Linked DNA regions of Schizosaccharomyces pombe. The gene in region 4 interacts genetically with the main gene of each other region. Each region holds a gene or a part of one and is shown on either strand. Other genes may lie near its edges.

Evidence for each region.
Region 1: mutations in pab2 (region 4) and eme1 together harm fitness more than expected from each alone (negative genetic interaction), as found in Schizosaccharomyces pombe (2 studies listed by BioGRID).
Region 2: mutations in pab2 (region 4) and rei1 together harm fitness more than expected from each alone (negative genetic interaction), as found in Schizosaccharomyces pombe (2 studies listed by BioGRID).
Region 3: of pab2 (region 4) and rmt1, changing one suppresses a phenotype caused by changing the other (phenotypic suppression), as found in Schizosaccharomyces pombe (one study listed by BioGRID).

What each region holds. Positions count from the first base shown.
Region 1 is NC_003424.3:3,295,741-3,301,779, reverse strand, and holds eme1 (Holliday junction resolvase subunit Eme1), read left to right. Parts: upstream 1-1,866; 5' UTR 1,867-1,912; coding exon 1,913-1,999; exon of another isoform or gene 2,000-2,055; coding exon 2,056-2,147; exon of another isoform or gene 2,148-2,231; coding exon 2,232-4,260; 3' UTR 4,261-4,438; downstream 4,439-6,039. Other genes in the region: glycerophosphoryl diester phosphodiesterase Gde1, read right to left, coding at 4,439-6,039. UniProt on the Schizosaccharomyces pombe protein: Interacts with mus81 to form a DNA structure-specific endonuclease with substrate preference for branched DNA structures with a 5'-end at the branch nick. Typical substrates include 3'-flap structures, D-loops, replication forks and nicked Holliday junctions.
Region 2 is NC_003421.2:1,220,694-1,224,757, reverse strand, and holds rei1 (ribosome biogenesis protein), read left to right. Parts: upstream 1-1,576; 5' UTR 1,577-1,750; coding exon 1,751-3,142; 3' UTR 3,143-3,519; downstream 3,520-4,064. Other genes in the region: meiotic cohesin complex STAG protein Rec11, read left to right, coding at 1-341, 385-670, 758-1,072; vgl1 (vigilin), read right to left, coding at 3,741-4,064.
Region 3 is NC_003424.3:5,015,362-5,019,774, reverse strand, and holds rmt1 (protein arginine N-methyltransferase Rmt1), read left to right. Parts: upstream 1-1,855; 5' UTR 1,856-1,945; coding exon 1,946-1,993; exon of another isoform or gene 1,994-2,071; coding exon 2,072-2,075; exon of another isoform or gene 2,076-2,341; coding exon 2,342-2,354; exon of another isoform or gene 2,355-2,522; coding exon 2,523-2,637; exon of another isoform or gene 2,638-2,715; coding exon 2,716-2,781; exon of another isoform or gene 2,782-2,831; coding exon 2,832-3,126; exon of another isoform or gene 3,127-3,178; coding exon 3,179-3,513; intron 3,514-3,559; coding exon 3,560-3,699; intron 3,700-3,708; exon of another isoform or gene 3,709-3,748; coding exon 3,749-3,755; 3' UTR 3,756-3,816; downstream 3,817-4,413. Other genes in the region: phosphoenolpyruvate transmembrane transporter Pet3, read right to left, coding at 1-53, 105-283; rpl31 (60S ribosomal protein eL31), read right to left, coding at 1,188-1,382, 1,503-1,649; nucleoporin, WD repeat Nup155, read right to left, coding at 3,989-4,413. UniProt on the Schizosaccharomyces pombe protein: S-adenosyl-L-methionine-dependent protein-arginine N-methyltransferase that catalyzes both the mono- and asymmetric (type I) dimethylation of the guanidino nitrogens of arginine residues in target proteins.
Region 4 is NC_003423.3:1,938,859-1,942,849, reverse strand, and holds pab2 (poly(A)-binding protein Pab2), read left to right. Parts: upstream 1-2,061; 5' UTR 2,062-2,093; coding exon 2,094-2,129; exon of another isoform or gene 2,130-2,180; coding exon 2,181-2,434; exon of another isoform or gene 2,435-2,489; coding exon 2,490-2,577; exon of another isoform or gene 2,578-2,633; coding exon 2,634-2,756; 3' UTR 2,757-3,479; downstream 3,480-3,991.

The DNA.
Region 1 (6,039 bases), on a different chromosome or scaffold from region 4:
CTGCATTTTACTTTTTTAGATGGAGCTCTGATCGTCCATCTCTCCCATTCCTCCCGGCTACTAAACCCGGAGTTAAGATAAAGGTGCGCCTGCTATCCGAAGAAAATAAACTCTGCGTAACCGAAGCAACAATGGTCGTGGTAGCAAAAGGAGTATAGGGTGAAAAGAGAAAAAGATAAAAGAGAGAAGAGAGGAGAGGCGAGAAAGGAAACAAGAATTATAATTAAAAAAAAAAAAAAAAGAAAAAAAGAGATTTTCTCTTAAGAATCAAAACATACTGAATGCAATTGTTTTGCCGAATACTACGATTTTTGACGTATTGCACTTTTTTTGGCTTATTGCTGGATCAACATGTATAAGAGTCTATTTAAAGGATTTCCGTTGTAAAAATACAACTTATCACACTCACACGTTGACACTAAGAGAAAAAAGCTATAGCGAACAATGATACACACACATATACATACGCTGTTGCTATTCACATACGCTGCCTTGATACACACTGTCTTGACTATAAGGAAAAAAGGTTTGGCTTGGTCACAAGTAAAATGTAGCGATGACTTTCGTACTCTACTAATGATTGTTTAGTGAAGAATGATAAAAGATAGTAGTGTGTATTGATTATACTTGTATAATGCAGTTGAATTTACTATGAATAATTTGGAAATTTCGCACAACTCGTTGGTCCTCTTAAAAAAGGAGAAATTTCAGTTTGCGAATATTGGTTTCTCTCTCTCTTTACTTTGCTTTGCTTTGATCTGCTCTACTATACTCTACACCCTTGCCTTTCTGCTTTCTTTGTTTGGTTGCAAAATTCACAGATCGCAATGAAAAAATGTTTTAAACTGCGAACTAATAAGTAGAATTGATTTTGCAATGAAAAGTAAAATTAAATTAAATAGAAAAAGAAAATTTTAAAAAGAGACAAAGAAGAGTAAGGAAAAAAAAGCCCCCCCCCCCCCCCCCCCGAAAAAAAAAGAAAAACAATGTATTCATGGTAAAAACAAAAAAAGTTTTTACTCATCATTCATTGTATCGTTGATCAATTAAAGAATACAAAAAAAAAGTAAGCATAAACCCATTTGGAAACATTGCATCAAAGGATTTTTCATTTTCATTTTCATTTTTATTTTGTTTTATTTTATTTTATTTTATTTTTTTGTTTACCATCATTGATGAAACAGACTAATGAAAAAGAAACTCTAGTACATTTTTATTTTTATTTTTATACTATTGAGCTTTAAATATTAGAGTATTTTATTCTATTGAATTTGAATTGAATTTATTTTAATTTTGGTTAAATTAATTGATTTTCTTTTCTTTGAAATTTTTATTTTATTCAATCTTTTTACACTTTCTAACGTACTACCAAAGTCCCTAAATACCGTATCGCCCTTCTACCTAAAATTCTTTCAAAATGACACACTAAACCACAGTATTTGCAAAAGAAATACTCACCCATCCCACTCATTGATTTCAATAATCTTCAATTCTCAAACACAAAACGACATCCTTTCAACTACTTCTAAAAGAATAAATATTTTCCTTTTTTTATACTATTCATCTTATCTAAACTCCTCCTGCATCCATTTCTCTTCTCCATTTTTTACCCATCTCTCACCTAACCTATATATACTTATATGTAAACAAACCTACTACTCTCTATACTTTCCATACCAAATATCCTCAAACATCCACGCAAACCTCCAATCTTTTTAATTATTCAAACTCTTTAATACCATTCCTATCTAAATTTTTTACTTCAAACTTTTTTTTTTTTTTCTCATTTCTTTTCGCTCTATTTCTGTCACCAACTCTCGTTCCCTGCCGGCTCCTTGTGTACACTTTGCCCTACCTGTCCTAACCACCAAACCCTCTATTGTTCGGAAAACAAACACTACACATGCATTGAATGACTCTGCAGTCTACAGATTCCGCTATTGTGATCGATTCTGAAGCTGATGTTGACATTTCAAGCTCACAAGCTTCTCCTTCCAAGGTTTGTCGCGTATTTCCCTTTCTTTCTGTTCGCTTTTTTTTTAACCCTCTTTTTAGGACAATATTGCTTTGTCAGAACACAATGTTATAACTGTTCTTGATACTCCTCAAAGATCTACTCAATGCGATAGTTTGCTAAAAAGTTTCAGGTAAGTTGACAAATATTGTTGCCAGCATTTCCTTCCTTTCCACACTTTTCTTCCACATCTCGCTAATCGTTCATTTGGGGTCAGTACTCCTTTAGTTTCCGGCTCCGAAGATGTTCTCCCTAGTCCCCGTGATGCCCTTAATATCACTAATAAAAAGTCGGTTACCGATAATCTTTTGCTCTCTTTAACTTCTTCAAACCAGTCAACAAACACGAATTTAAATCCTTCTTCACGCGTCGAAATCATTAATTTAAACTCTTCTCCCCCTAATTCCCTTTCCTCGCAACCAAAACACCAAGAATTTCATTTATTCCATACTCCCACCATTCCTAGGACTACACAATTGTCATCGAAAACCTCCTCTCCCATCGTTATTCCCGACGACAATGAACAAGTGGCTTCCCCTTTATCTAAAAAAGCTGCTTCTTTGACTTCTTCACCCTTAAAAGATTTCCAGTCCTCCCCGCCGCTCTCCACAGTCCTTCAAAAATCCCACTCCCTTCACGATATACTACTGGACACGAATGATGACGATCATTTCCCATTTACCCAGAGTCCGCTAACAAAAACAAAATCTTTCAACGATGCACTAACATCCTCATCCTCTATACTAAAGCCATGCATGCCATCCATCGCTAGTCCTACTTCTAATCGATTATCACATGCCCCTTCTACGCCTAATTTATTTCCTAACCAAGACAGCTCCAATACAATCGACCTCATCAATAACCGTTCCAAAACCTCCGTAGAAAATCAAGAAAGAACTTTCAATCTCACATCTGATGTGCACTTAGATAGCCCGACCTCTCCATCCAAGCATTCTTCAATTGAACCCAATACTAGTCAGGAAGATAGTTTTCAAGAACTTCCTTCTCTAAACAAACTTTCCATTCAAAGTAGAGCTTTTAAAAAAATGAGACTACCCAAAATTTCAAGGACTACCGATACGCCTCCTGCCTCTACTTCAAATTCAAATAAAAAAAATTTGGATAAATTAAAAAAAATGAGAAAATTATGCTCTAGGAGCTTGGAACCGTACGAGCTAGACTCTAATACACAACGTAAGAGGAAACGTTACGAAGATTCTTTGAAAAAATCAAAAACTTTAGATAAGGTTGACAGCTTGAATAGAAAGATGGCGAAAGAATTGGACAGAAAGAATTCAAAGGAACTTCAAAAAATTAACAAAGTTAAGAGAACCAAAGAAGAATGCCTATCTGAGATAATTCTTTTATCGCCGGATGATTGGGCTTCATCTTGGTATTCAACTGTTCGCTCTCAATTAGATTCATACAACTGCCAATTCGTTGTCAATTCAAATCAACCAAAAGACTCAATTATGTGGAAAAGGAAGGTAAACAATGTGTTTAATTCTTCTACCAACCGGTTTGAACTTAGCATAGAGCATGAACAAATCGAACCTTTTGCCCTACTACGGTTGAAATGCCGGGATTTTATAAAATACATCGAAGAGGACCAAGCTGATACTTTTTTTCATGAAATGTCTGAAAAGTTTAAAGGCTGTAAGCTAATACTGTTGCTGGAAGGCATCCCAAACTATTTTAAATCTCTGAAAGCAGAATTAAATCGTCAATATGCAGCAGCTGTTAATAGCGGTACCAGACCTTTGTTATTTGGTTCTTTATCAAAATATCAAAACTTTACTAAAGAAAAGTTAGAGAGTGAAATCGTCCGCTTCAGTTTCGAACATAGTATTCTTATAAACACTTCAAATGACGAAAAAGAAACCGCTCAATGGATAGTTTCCTTTACCGGCGACATAGCTTTATCTCGTTACAAGCACTTTTCTAAATTTTCAGCTAGAGCCTCTACTACCGAAATAGGACATGTCAAATCCGCCGATAGAATTGAAAACTCTCTAAATTTTATGTTGCGGCAAATACTACGAGTTACACCTAACATTGCTAACGCCATATGCGATCAATTTGACAGTATACCATCTTTAATTCATCATCTAAAAACTCACGGCGAGGAATCATTAACCAACGTTGTCATCCAATCTAGTATTAGTGAACGAAATTTAGGTCCGGTTTTATCGCGCCGTATATATAACACTTTCTTATGTAAAGAAGCATCCAGTGATGCACCATAGTGATCGGTCATTATTTGTATTTCATTAATTGTTATCATGATATTTTTTCCTTTTTTTTTCTATCTATGAAATTTTCTTATGATATACTTTCTTCTAACTAAAAATTAACTAATATCGGTTTCTAACTAAAGCACCTCATCTTCTATATCGTCGGTAGTATTCGTTCAAACTTTCTAGATCAATCAGATTCCAAACTTTCATCGTACTGGTTCAAGGCACGTCTAATGGCTAACACATTGTCTACAATGACAGCATCAACTCCAAAACGTACTTGGCGTCGGACATTGTCAACATCATTATTGAGAACACCATAGGTGTAGCAAGATAAACCCAATTGTTTAACTGCCTTGATCAGCCTCGGGCACATAATGAGCGGTTCACAAGCACTAACGATACCCAGAAAACTCCACTGTGAGGCAAACTTTAAAGCTTGTCTAAGCGATGCTGCACGAACGTCTGTTCGGTAAGCGGTACCTCCTTCAGTCAAAAAAAGAACAGGATTAGTCGATTTCAAAGAAAGTAAGATGCATATATCAGGATTAAAACTAGAGAAAATATACTTTCTTTTACCACCATACTTTTTGATTATCGATAGAATGGTATCCACGTAAAAGTTATAATCATAAGCTATAGGGAGCAATTTCTCTTCCTCAGCTTCACTTAGCATGGGGTACTTAAATTCCACATTAAGTCCTACGGATTGTGGAACTTCCTTCAAAACATCCTTTAAAGTTGTGAACGGTGCACAAATCGTATGACCAAGGGCATTACCCTTATATACTTTAGGCTTCAAACGTGCGTTTTCTTCAGCAAATTCACCGAAATTAACCTGTGATCCTGAAGGTGTAAATGAGGAACTGTAGGCCCTAGGACGTCTCTTCTGCTGAATGTCACTTGCATCATCTTTAATTTCTTCTGAAGGAGAGTGGGAAGCCCCTAAGAATTGCTCCAAAGTCAGCGAATGCACTTGTGCATCCGTTCCGGTTTCGTTTACGATAAAATCATGGTATACCACTGGGACCATGTCTTTAGTCATTTGCACATCTAATTCAACGTAAGAAGCACCAAGATCTGCCGCTTTTATAAACGATTGTAAAGTGTTCTCGCCAAGTTGAAGACTCAAACGATCAGGCTGATTCTTACCAAGTCCACGATGTCCGATAACCGCAACACCATTCGATTTCCCTGATTCTGATGTAGTTGTGGCAGATTTGTGTAAAGAACGCTCAGCGTCTTCCAATGCAGTGCGACTTACGTTGGAAACTGCTTCCAGCGATAAGGCAGGGGTACTTATGCCATCATTTGACGAAAATCTATCATCAACTGTCACCTTAGAAATAAGAACATCCGCATTAACATGAGCTATTGGTTTAAGAGTTTTACTCGAAAGTAATGGTAAGGGTGCCAAAGGTTTCAACGACTGCATATGATTCCCCAAATCAGATACCAGAGAAGTCAAGCAACATACAGTTCTCCCTAATATTTTATGGGATCGATTTGCTAACAAATCAATTGTAATAGTTGCTTCTTCTGTATTTCTTGTAACGAAAACCAATTCATACGGTGGAGAAGACCCGTTTACAGGTTGCGGACTATTTTCTTGTGCGGCATCATAATGCAAATGAATAGAGTCGTCGGCAATTTCATCAGGCTCCGCCAAATTCTCTAAGCAAACTTCACCGGCATTATCAAAATGGGAGCGAGGGATATCAATAATCACTGAGTTGTTTTGGCTAGAAGATGGTGTCATAGAGCCATTAGAAGCAGTAGTGTCGTTTT
Region 2 (4,064 bases), on a different chromosome or scaffold from region 4:
CTATTACAGAAATACAGAGAATCTTGTGTTTCATCATACTTTTTTATAAAATGCGTAGAGCAAATTCCTGACGAGCTTCTTTATAAGAGAGAATTTCATAAGGACTTTTCAAAGTTGTATAAAGAAATACTGGATATATTTAATTCAACTACCGTTAACTTCCTGATGATTTTGTGCAGCAGATTCTTCCACCGATTGGCGGTCAACAAAGTTGTACAGGAAGATATATTATTTGCCATTGACAATGTATATAATGATTTAGCAGAAAGTTTACACGAGCAACTCAATGCATACATTCAAAGAAAAAAAATAAACAAAAAAAATCAGTTGAATGGCAATGAGTAAGGATTTTTCTTTTTGTTATTAGATTGCTAACTTTACAAGTGAAACGCAAAACTTGGTTTTAGCTTTAAATAAGTTTGGATGCTTTGCAAAGGAAATGGTCTGTCTGCGAGACGTCAATGATTGGAACATTAAACTGTCAGAAAAATTATGCGAAATTTGTAGTCTTGAAGTCGGTCCTATCGTCTGTTATTCTTCTTTGAAAGTTTTATTTCTTCTTCTGCTTTCTGATATGAGAGATAGAAACTGTATTTTTACAAATATATTTTTAAAAGCAGCTAAGGTTGCGAAGCAAAAAAATGGAAACTCCTTTTTAAGCAAAGTTTTCGTAAGTCTCTAATGTTGCTGTCTATCTATCTTTTATGACTGTTGATTTCAATCACATTTAGTGGAGTAAAATGCTAACTATAAGCAGATTACAATTACGATGCTTACATTGTTTCTTGGATCAAAGGCAAATAATTGGGATATAAATTTTAGTGACGATGACTTGAAATTGATGAATGAAGAAGAAATCATGGAACAAATTGAAACTTTTAAAGCATGGTCAATGAAATTTAAAGAGAAATCATCTGGAAACCCTTCTTACTTTTTTTCACCCGAAGATACTGAGGAGAAGGAATTATGGAATAATCTGTTTGAGGATTGGTATCCCAATCGTGCTAGAGATCCTGGAACACTGAGTCATTTAGTGAAAGGTTTAAAAGAAACAGCTGACCATTTATCATAAAACGAAATTTTAACACTAATTAAACCCCGAGGGAAAAGAGATAAGAAAGCACATGTGCTAACTTTCTTATTGAGGCAAGGAAACTTATTAAACAAAAGGAAAAGACATTAAACTCTATTATGTATTTCCTATATGATTATTCCAACGAAACTAACTCAAAAATACCTCAATTTCAAATACTCAATTTTAATTAAACCCTGAAGAGTGGGAGCTCGTGTGCTCGCTAAAACTACAATGCATGCCATTTCTTTCTTTCCAGCCCTTTGTCTATATATGAGTTTTCTTAGGACTTACTGGTTAATCAAAAGGTACGCCTTATGTTACTAAGCAATAGAAAATGTTTTTGAGGGATGCATAAATTAAGTTTAAAAAAACAAGACATTAAGATGTTTAACATATCAATTAATTTTATTTGATTTCAATAAAATTGATAATTATTTGACACTTTAAAATAATTTGGTGGTGCTACAAGTTATGTAGGCAATAGTTGATCGTAGGCAAGTTGGATTCAACCAACACCTTTTTGTGCAAGGTATTGTAAAAAAGGGTTGACTTCATCTCATTAAGTTAGTTTGAGTCAAAGAATATATTTGAGGAAAGACTCGGCTTCAATATCAATTTTTTTTTCGATAAAAAAGTGTACTGGCTAAGAATTGAATTACTTGACAGAATACCGAAATGTCGACTTCTTTTGCTTGCACGACTTGTACTGTGGCTTTCAATAATGCAGAATCACAGAAAATACATTGGAAGTCTGACTGGCATCATTATAATCTGAAGAGAAAGGTTGCTAGCTTGCCGCCGTTGAGTGCTGAGGTGTTTGCTGGAAAGATTTTGTCCATTCAAAAGCAGAACGAGGAAGTCCAGAAAAAAGCAGAATTTTATCAAAACTGTGAAGTATGTAATAAAAAGTTTTATTCAGAAGGCGCCTATTCATCACATATGGCTTCGAAGAAGCATCGCGATAACTTGAGCAAATTTCAAAGAAACAGCCGTATTAAGAAACTTCAAAGTGAAGATGCAAGTAGTATTGCTTCTTCAACCTTGTCAATGGGTGAACCTGTAGTTGATAGCGAAATTGAGGAAGAAGAAGATTTAGCTTCACAACTGACATCAAGGGCGATATCCCTTTCCAACTTATCTCTTCATGGTCGAGAAAGTGAACCCTCTAAAACTGAATTGGCTACTTCCATACCTCAATCGAACGAAGCTTCCAAGTCTCATCTATTTACACAAGAACCAACTCCTGAAGAAATTGAAGCTGAACTTGCTCGTCGAAGTAGTCAACGTCTTTCACCAAGAGATTGCCTGTTTTGCGCAGCCTCTTTTTCTTCATTTGATACATGCAAGAAGCATATGAAGGCTTCTCATAGCTTGTACATTCCTGAGCGGGAATATTTGGTAGATGAACCAAGTCTATTCGATTATTTAGCAGAGAAAATTTCTATCGGCTTTACTTGCCTTACCTGCAATCGTGAATTTAAATCACTAGAAGCTGTTCGTGCCCATATGCAGCAAAAGGGGCATACCTCTATTGCCTATGATACAGAAGATGAACAGCTTGAACTCTCTGATTTTTATGATTTTACTACATCGTATCCTGACTATGCAGTAAAGCAAGACGAAACTGTCGTAGAAGAAGATGGAAGCTCTGGTGAAGGAGACTGGGAAGATGTTTCTGATGATTCAGATAACTCCAGCTTAGATAGTCTTGAAATGGGTCGTGTACCCATTGCTGACGAATATGAACTTCATTTACCCTCTGGTAATCGTGTGGGCCATCGTTCGTTATCTCGCTACTTCCGCCAAAATCTTCACTCTAGTTCTACCGCTGTAGGAGATGGTGCTTCTATTCATCAGAACGTCGCCAGACGTGCGATGAGTGGTAATGCCCGAGCTTATAGACAAGCTGTTGAAACAAGTATAGCTGGTGTTCGCGATGGCCGTAAGAATTATAGTGCCTCTCATATCAAATCATTCCAAGACCAAAGAAGAAGAGAGGAATTTGCTAACAAGATGGGTATTAAGAATAACACAAAAAAGCATTTCCGCGATGCGCTTCTTCAATAGTCTATTTATTGTACGAGGCCTTTTGTTTCTTTCATTATATACTTCATACTCCACATTCTTTCGTCTCATATTTCTCCTTACTTCCGGTGTTCTTTATTTTGGGGTTTTCTGGGTTTTTTTAACTTATTTACGCTATTTGGAAAAAAAAAACGTCCTAATATGGTTCTTCTTTTGAGAAATGGTTAAATTTTAGCTCGTTGTTTGTAAATTTATAATATTCTTTTACTAAAACTTGTTGTGTCCTATCTGTCGTACAATGCTTATTTTCTCATAAAAAATCATAGATTTCAACTATTCTAGTTTCTTGAATTATCTATACATTCCAATGTTTATATCTGAAAAGATTGAATAAATGCACTAGGTACGCCTTTTTCCTATGCGTCTATATTTGTAATATTAAACAAAGGCAATGTAACAAAGCAAAGAAGGAATCAATAAGGAAAATGCTCGATTCAAGCAATTTCCGTCTCCTTAAAAAATGACATGTAGTAATAAAAGAGCGACAAAATGATATTTCGTACACATAATTTTCAAATACACTCTCAAAAAAATTTGAGAAATGAATGTAAGTACTAAATAAAGGCTCCAAAATTTTACCTTACTCTTGATTTTGGTTTTCTTGAAGTCTCTCGAAAATCAGATCTTTAGCCTTGACAACGCCAGCTCGACTTCCTTGGACTACTACAATTTCATCGCCTGGAGTACGAGGAACATCAATTTTAACTTGGGCGATCTTTCGGATCTTATTAATAATAGAGCCACCAGAACCGATTATACGACGGTGCAAGTTCGTTGGGATACCCAAGTAAGCAATACAATTTTCCATAACTTGCTTGATAGATTTTTCCAATGAAGCGATAGCCTTTTCAACATTTTCCTTATGTCCTCGAACAGCCCACTCAGATGAAGAAGAACCAGTGTA
Region 3 (4,413 bases), on a different chromosome or scaffold from region 4:
ATTCGGAAAAAATCCACTTGTTCATCATAGAAAGAAGTAAAGAAAAGAAATACCTAAAAACAATACCAGTTAGTAAACACAATGACTGAAGGAGGGGATCATACCAAGCAAGCACAATGAGTACTATTATGACTACCCTTGTGATCCAATGTTGAGGACGGTCAGGCTCATTCTGTGATACGGGAGCTACTCCTTGTTCAATATCCTTTACAATAGCCTCCGGGGCCGGAGATGGAGTGAACTCGGGCTCTCGCTCGACTTTCAAAATCGGATCTGTCTCCATTTATAAGACTAGCTAACTGTACAATGTGGATGAATTAAGCTTGTTCCTCAACATATGCTTTAATTTCTTTTATGAAAGAAAGAAAACAACTTTAAGAGGTGCTAGCATAAAACTCTACAAAGCACGCGTATGTGTGGTAAAGGGTGGCCGTACACCAGAGGATGCTAATAAGTGAAATAATTGGAGAGAGTTAATAAAGAGATTTCAAAGCAATTAATCACAAAAATATTTAAGACGCTATATTTAATAGAGGACAGTTGCCTTAATATGGAGATACCTTCGGAAACCTATGTCTCAGCGAATTGCTTCATTTCACATGCATCAGGTGGCTCATTGTGGATATTTTCGAACAGTTAATTACGACACAATTAGAATAGTAATATTAAATAATACAATAAATTGACAATAATTCCGCTACTTTTGAAGGTTCACTTTTTTAAGGCATTGCAACCTTTGTTTTCATCATCAGTCAATGAGTAGGAAAAATAACTTGTAGGTACGCATCCTGAAGATATATTAAGTTGTATTCTCTTATTCATTTGATTTTAAGCTAAATGGGCATCTACAGTGTCAATATCAAAACTGCATTAAAAAAGCGCTCACTGTCAAAAACGTCTTCGCAATACAAGCTACACTCTTTATACTTGCTTTCTTGTTCACAATTGGTGGATTAAAAGGTGCGTCAAACTAAGTAACTCGGTATTAGATATGCTCTTATTTTGAATCCTTCAAACCCGCTACGATCTTTTTCCATATTTACTACAAATCTTTCACTTCCATTACAGCTCAACCTCTCACTACAAATAACTCAAATACGCCGAGTATAACAGATCACCATTCAATTTACAATTATATCAGCATACTGGTATATCAAAATAGAACCGTGCATCAAAACGCACATATTTTATTCCTCAACAACGGTGGTCTCCATCTTAGGGTTGGCAACGTCAACAGCTTGAACGTAAGTGTAGAGAGCCTTGTCGTCCTCGTCACTACGCTTACGAGAGAGACGAAGGCGAAGACGGTGAGGCACATTTCTGATACCACGCTTCCAAACTTCCTTGTTCAAAGAAGGGTCGACGCGGACCTCCTTGGTTTGCTATAAAAAATACAGTTAGTAGGACTGAAATTTTGAGAAAGGAAGAAAGGAGGAAATATTGTAGCCATGAATACGAAATATAAAGACTTTTATACTAATCTCACTTATTTTTTTACTTACCATATGCTTTTGGGCGAATGCAACAATTTCCTTGATGGCACGAGGAGCACGCTTCTTGAAAGAAACTCCGTAGAGTCTCTTGTGCATGTGAATCGTGTAATCACGAGTGACGACTTGGTTAATAGCGCTCTTCTTAGTGTTGGCCATTGTAAGAGGTTTTGTGCACAGGTTTGTTTCCGAGTGATCCAAAGTTTCGTTTGCTTAAAATGTGACGGCGTTTTCTGTTAGGGTAGGGTAGGACTGGTTGTTTTCGTACACTATGCTGCCTTAGCGTTGTGTTGCACATAAAGTACATCCCAAGTAACAGCCTGCCATTTGAAGAACTAGGGCCTCTCCAGCGACCTAAGTTGGTCGTGTTGACAGCCGTTTACCAATTTTCATAAGTTTGAGTGATTTTGCGTTTCGCATCCAGAATTGGAAATTAAATTACTTACTATTTGAAAATGCCTGGGAATACCAAGAAAAGCGCGGATTCTGGCTTGACTGCCAAGGTATGTTTTTTGCTCTATGATGATACTAATTGTTCTGGATGCAATTCCACTGTTGAGTATTTTATTAACTAAACATAGGATTGTAAGTTTTTTAATTCAGTGATTGAGTTGGTAGGATATCGGGTTTTCAGTCCGTTTAGTCATTTGGACATTTCCCTCAAGTATATGCTTCCGGCTTATACTTAACCATAGACTCAACGATTCGTCTGTCAGTCAATGACTGTTCTTAATACATACCTTGCCAAATGAGGTTGATTATTTCTGTTTATCTGACATTCGTTGAAAAGATACTTTTAATCCCAACTTAAACCACATTAACTTTTCCCGTCAGTCCTTGCTAATAAATAGATTATTTTGACAGGTATTTTTACTGTTTTATTAATCGCAACAATCAACGACGTAGAAGCAATTTAATTAGGTTTTCGATCTCTTCGTGAAGGCAATTGTCATCAAGAGTTATAAATTTTTATCTTTTTAAAATACTTGAATTGTGATTTTTTGATTATCCGATCAGTATACTAATTTTCAGTTACTCTCATTGGGGAATTCATGAAGAAATGTTAAAGGATGATGTCCGTACGCTTTCCTATCGCGACGCAATCATGCAAAACCCACATCTCTTTCGTGATAAAATTGTTCTTGATGTATGCTTACCAGTTATTTAGGATAGATCTCGTTTTTCTTCACTTACATATTTTTTCTTTCGCTTGCTAACCTGTTAGGTTGGATGTGGTACCGGTATTCTTTCCATGTTTTGCGCTAGAGCAGGCGCTAAACACGTATATGGTGTATGTTTATTCCATTTATCTCCCCTGCATAAATTGTTAACGAAACGTAGGTTGACATGAGCGAAATTATCCACAAAGCTGTACAGATTGTTGAAGTTAATAAACTTTCCGACCGTATTACTCTAATACAAGGCAAAATGGAAGAAATACAACTTCCTGTGGAAAAAGTAGATATTATTGTATCCGAATGGATGGGCTACTTTTTACTTTACGAGAGCATGCTCGACACAGTTCTCGTTGCTCGTGACCGCTATCTTGCACCTGATGGTCTTCTATTCCCCGATCGCGCCCAGATTCAACTAGCAGCCATCGAAGATGCTGATTACAAATCTGAAAAAATTGGATGTAAGTTTAAGTTAAGTATCTGTCGGTATCTTTCTAACCATTCATTTCTCAGTTTGGGACGACGTTTACGGTTTTGATTTTTCTCCCATAAAAAAGGATGTCTGGAAAGAACCTTTGGTTGATACGGTTGATCGCATAGCCGTCAATACCAATAGTTGTGTAATTCTTGATTTAGATTTAAAAACTGTGAAAAAAGAAGACCTCGCATTTTCCTCTCCCTTTGAAATAACCGCTACTCGCAACGATTTCGTTCATGCTTTCCTTGCGTGGTTTGACATCGAATTTTCCGCTTGTCATAAACCTATTAAGTTTAGTACCGGCCCATTCTCCCGTTACACTCATTGGAAACAAACTGTTTTCTATACTCATAAGGATCTCACTGTAAAGGTACATTTTTTCTCTTTTACAAGATTTACTAACACCACTTCTATAGGCCGGTGAATACATTAGAGGTACAATTACTTGCAAACCTGCAGAAGGAAACCACCGCGAACTTGATATTGATATTTCATACACTTTCAATCCACGTGAGCCAAATCGCGAGCCTGTTTCAGAAGACCTTTCTTATAGAATGTAAGCTATTCATAGTCATTTATCACACTTAAATTACTAACTTTGGCAGGTGTTAAATTTTACAAAAAAAAAAGGATTTAGGTTTTTTAGTTTCTAATCACACATTTATCATTGCAAGTGCTGTAAAAGAGTATTTTCTAAATTGTTTTTTTATATGTAACAGTCATAGCGATAGTTAACAACATCCAATTATGTGAAGGTTTCAAATCCATCCAATATAATCATTGCATTTATTAAATACCAAACACCATCTTTTTAAAAAATGTTGTTATAAAAAGCTATCTTTTCACTAGTATGTCTGACGAATTTCAGAATCTAAAGATATTAAATTTTCTTTGCAACTTTTCGTGGCAGTATCGGGTGCACCTAGCGCATTTTTGTATTTCTCTATTGCTTCCAAAACAAGAGGAGCATCAAAACTGGGTTTGGAGGTTTGAGCAACTCCGGCTCTTACACTCACTTCATGCCATAATTTTAATAGATGGGTAACTTCTTTTATTAGGAAAAAAAGCCTATCTTTTCCTTGCCAAGGCTTTTCTCTGCGATCGTAGAGCTGGTTTAGTACAATAAATATTAATTCATGAGAAACGCCGGCTCCCAAGAATGTATCAATAACCCAACCAGTAGCTACCGCTTCACCTTGTTGATCAAACGCATATCTTTCAGTAATGTCAATTATTTGCTCAATAGGGAAAACGTTTTCAGATTGTGAAA
Region 4 (3,991 bases):
AAGTCGGCCTGGCTGTTCGAAGAGGATGGCGGGTATGAAAACAGTGGTTTCGCGTTGAATACTTTGGGAGAATTAGAATTTCGTAGCAATTCACTTAGATCGTGTGTGTATTAATATTTTGTTAAGCAAATTTTCTCATGTTGAACCCAGAAATGTAGCAGAAAACAGAACCTTGGTTGGTTGTTGTTGGTAGAGGGTAAAGTTATCCGCCCCCCCTGAGGAGTTCTTTTTAGTGCTGATGTTCCTTTGATTGCGATAGAGAATTTAACGAAATTTAGTGGAATATAGCACAATTATGTCGAGATAGTAGATGAGTTGGTAAGGAAGATTCGTGATCAATTTATCCCGTTCTGACTTCTTCTTCCTTATTCTATGATAACGTGACTGTGTAGTGCATTATTTCTCCTTAAACTTGTGCGTGATAAATAAATAAATATAAAATAGAACAAGTCGTATATACTAATTTATAGACACATATGCTATCGTCTACAATCTATTTTCATTTTTACTAATTGTTTTAATTATTTTTTCTCATCTTATTGAATTCTTTTCTCGTTTCTATCTTCGTTTCACCGATCGTTTTAGATGCACAAGTAACCACTGTTAACTAGAATAGCAAAGTAGATAGATGAACGATGGAAAATGTTCGATAATGAGAAAGATATAAGCCTCGAATATGAACTAATTATTTCGTACATTTTAATGAAATGATCTTAAAATTGCCTAACAATTTGCTTTTTGTTTGATCATTATGTTGCTTGGTTTAAGGAAGCTGCCATAGCAATTAAATATCAAGAGATATATAGGCCCTTGAATAGAAGTACGAGATTGGAAGGGATCATAGAAGCTTCCTTTGAGTTAAAACTCTGATTTATTAATTTTCTCCGCTTCGGTATGTGAATCGTCAACGGTGTCTAGAAGGTAATCAATGGTAGACTGCTACCGGATAAATAAATAGTGAAGTATCTGTAGTATTGGTTCTACAATTCGCATATGAAACGAAATATACCGTTACTTGATGCTTTATTATTATTTGTTTTATTCTAGTATTAGTTAAGCTGGGAACGGCTTGCTGTGGTTGATAGATAAACATTGTTGGGAAATTTCCATTTTATTAAATTATTAGTATCCCCAGGCAAAAAAAAAAAAAAATTGGTTTATTTAGACTTGGACTCTTTTTACATTTAAAGCGTAGAAACAAAAGAAGAAGAAAAAAACAATTAATATAAACGATAGCATTACGTTAGATGGGTTGCTGAACAAAAAAAAAAAAACACAAAAAACTACAAAATAAAGTAAAAAAAGAAATAATGGTAAAAATCAGAAAAAATAAATTAATTTATATAAAAATACGGAATATTATTAAAGAAATCAATTAAAAAACAGGAAGTTATTTTAAATAGACTTCCATTCAAAAATATCCCTTTTCTATATTTTTGTAATTCATCACCCTTGGCTATCGAGCTAATGAAGATAATACCAACCCTGGATACGTATATCAATGGTGAAGAGTGTGTAATAATTGAGTTCGAAGTTCCATGAAAGAACTACATTATGCCATACTTTATCACGTCTTATCGTATTTCTTTAGGATTCCACTTATTTCACTTCAAGTGGGAGAGCTCTTCAAGCAACTTAGGTATTCGTTACGTCCAAAAACTAAACATTTAACGGCATATCCCGTCAATCTCCTTAATTGTTTTTTAAAGATCGCTTTCTTATGAATTGTGATTTTAGCAATACAATAAAACCAAACACGCCATACAAAAATGTCCACAAACCTCACCTTACTTACTTGTGAGCACTCTCATCTTAACCAAGCATCCGAACTATAAGCAGGCAGTCCAAATCCTCGTTAAACACATATTGTACGTATTAACGAATACGAAAATATTACACCATATTGTGCTGTTTCATTCAGAAATCGGTTTTTCCGTCTCTAATCGTGCCATACGCTATTGTAAATTTGCGCGAAACAAAGCGTCGCTACTCTGAGAGCATAGAGGGAAACTTTTGTCACCCTCAACATGCTAAAGAATACTGGTTGAACAGTTTACTTCCAACCACACGCGTGTAGCAGAAAATTTGAAAAAATGAGTGATCAAGATGCCTTAGATACCCAAGAAAAGGTAGGAATTCAGACTGTGTAGTATGGTGGAATTATTTGCTTACATGATTAGGAACTATTGGAAATGAAAGAGCGAGTTGCTGAAATGGAAGCAGAGGCTGCAAAGCTTCGTGCCATGCAAGAACAACTAGATAATGAAACGGAAGCTTTGAGAAACGATAAGGAATCCATTGATGCTCAAAGTGTCTATGTTGGAAATGTTGATTACAGTGTTACTCCAGAGGAGTTGCAAAGTCATTTTGCTAGTTGTGGATCTGTTAATCGCGTTACCATTTTGTGTGACAAGTTTACGGGACATCCAAAAGGGTATGAATCGAACTTGTGGATGACGTTGGAATGTACAGCTAACCTAGTTTCGTAGATTTGCATACATCGAGTTCAGTGAACCAAGCTTAGTGCCTAATGCTCTTTTATTAAATGGATCGATGTTGCATGAACGACCTTTAAAGGTATGTAAAACAATCACAGTAACTACCAGCAACATGCATTCTAACTTGAAATGTAGGTTACACCCAAGCGGACAAACGTTCCTGGTATGAGCCGTGGTCGTGGTCGCGGACGTGGACGTGGACGGGGTCGTGGCAGAGGAGGATATCGTGGAAGAGCCCGTGGTTTCGCTCCGTATTAGGTAATCGCTTTGATGACTTGAAAAAGTGAAAAATGAATTATGAGCATTCAAATCGTCACCAATAACAGTTAGGTGGGAAAAGATTAGAAATGACATTTAACAGTATGTTGGAAATTAACTAGTATTTCTTTCAACTCATTCGTTAAATGTTTATATTCCTTGTTTATTCTTTTGTGTTGGATTACACGGGTTTCCTTTAAAGTCATGATCCCATTCACTATATTAAAACATATATGCTGACATAATGTAATTCACCGACCCTTCAATTCCTCTTGGGTATGGACTAGTTGATTGCATTTTTGTGTTTACAATGCCAGCTTCATAAAATTTTGTTGTATATTGTCGTTTTTATGCTTCTGATGCACGTTCATAATCTTCAAAATTTTCTTTTTTTTGTTTTTGAAAATTTATTTGCTCAGCTTAATTTCTCGTCATAATCTTGATCCGCTTGATTAGAAAAGGGGTCAGAAAAGGAAGCTACTCTATACACCGTATCACATATTACAGTCATCTCCTTCCTTTCTTGATTAATAAAACTAAACACCTACCAATGTATAATTTCATTATATATATATTTTTGTAATGAGGAGATACTTCTCTGTGTTCACCATTACATTTTGTGTTTAATATAGTGAAACACATTAACGTTCTTCTCTTCTCCTTTGGAGAGTTTAATGCTGAGGATCTTCTTATATTTCTAATAAATTTCTTGATTCTGTTTAATGATTTTATATAGAAAATGTATGACTTTCTTTTCTAAGTCTACAAGTTCATTTTTATATGTAATAATTGTGAGGAAATTAATTTTTAGTCATCATGATGTAAAATGACATTTAACAAAAAAAGCTTGGTGTATATCTAATTAAGTAGTTTTTACATAGTCGATTTTTATGTTCATATATTGTACATGTCGAGTCAATTTCTTTTAGCTACCTGCGGCATATTCCGGATTCCAGTACAAATAATTTCCTTCCTGCCTTTTACCCAACTCGTATAGGGAAGCGATAAATAAAAGTAACAAGGATAATCAAGTCAGTCGTTTCTACGCTGTGCCACTCAGATTCGATGACCTTTGTTTACTCTTTCGATTTGCCAAATATTAGCTGAGCGGATATTCGCTGAACTTGCGAGTTACACCTATTGATCCACTATTTAGCCAACCAACAGGTATTTACACTAGGATATTCCAGAGAGCATTCGAGCATTCGAGCATTCGTCTGTCGATTTATAAAAAG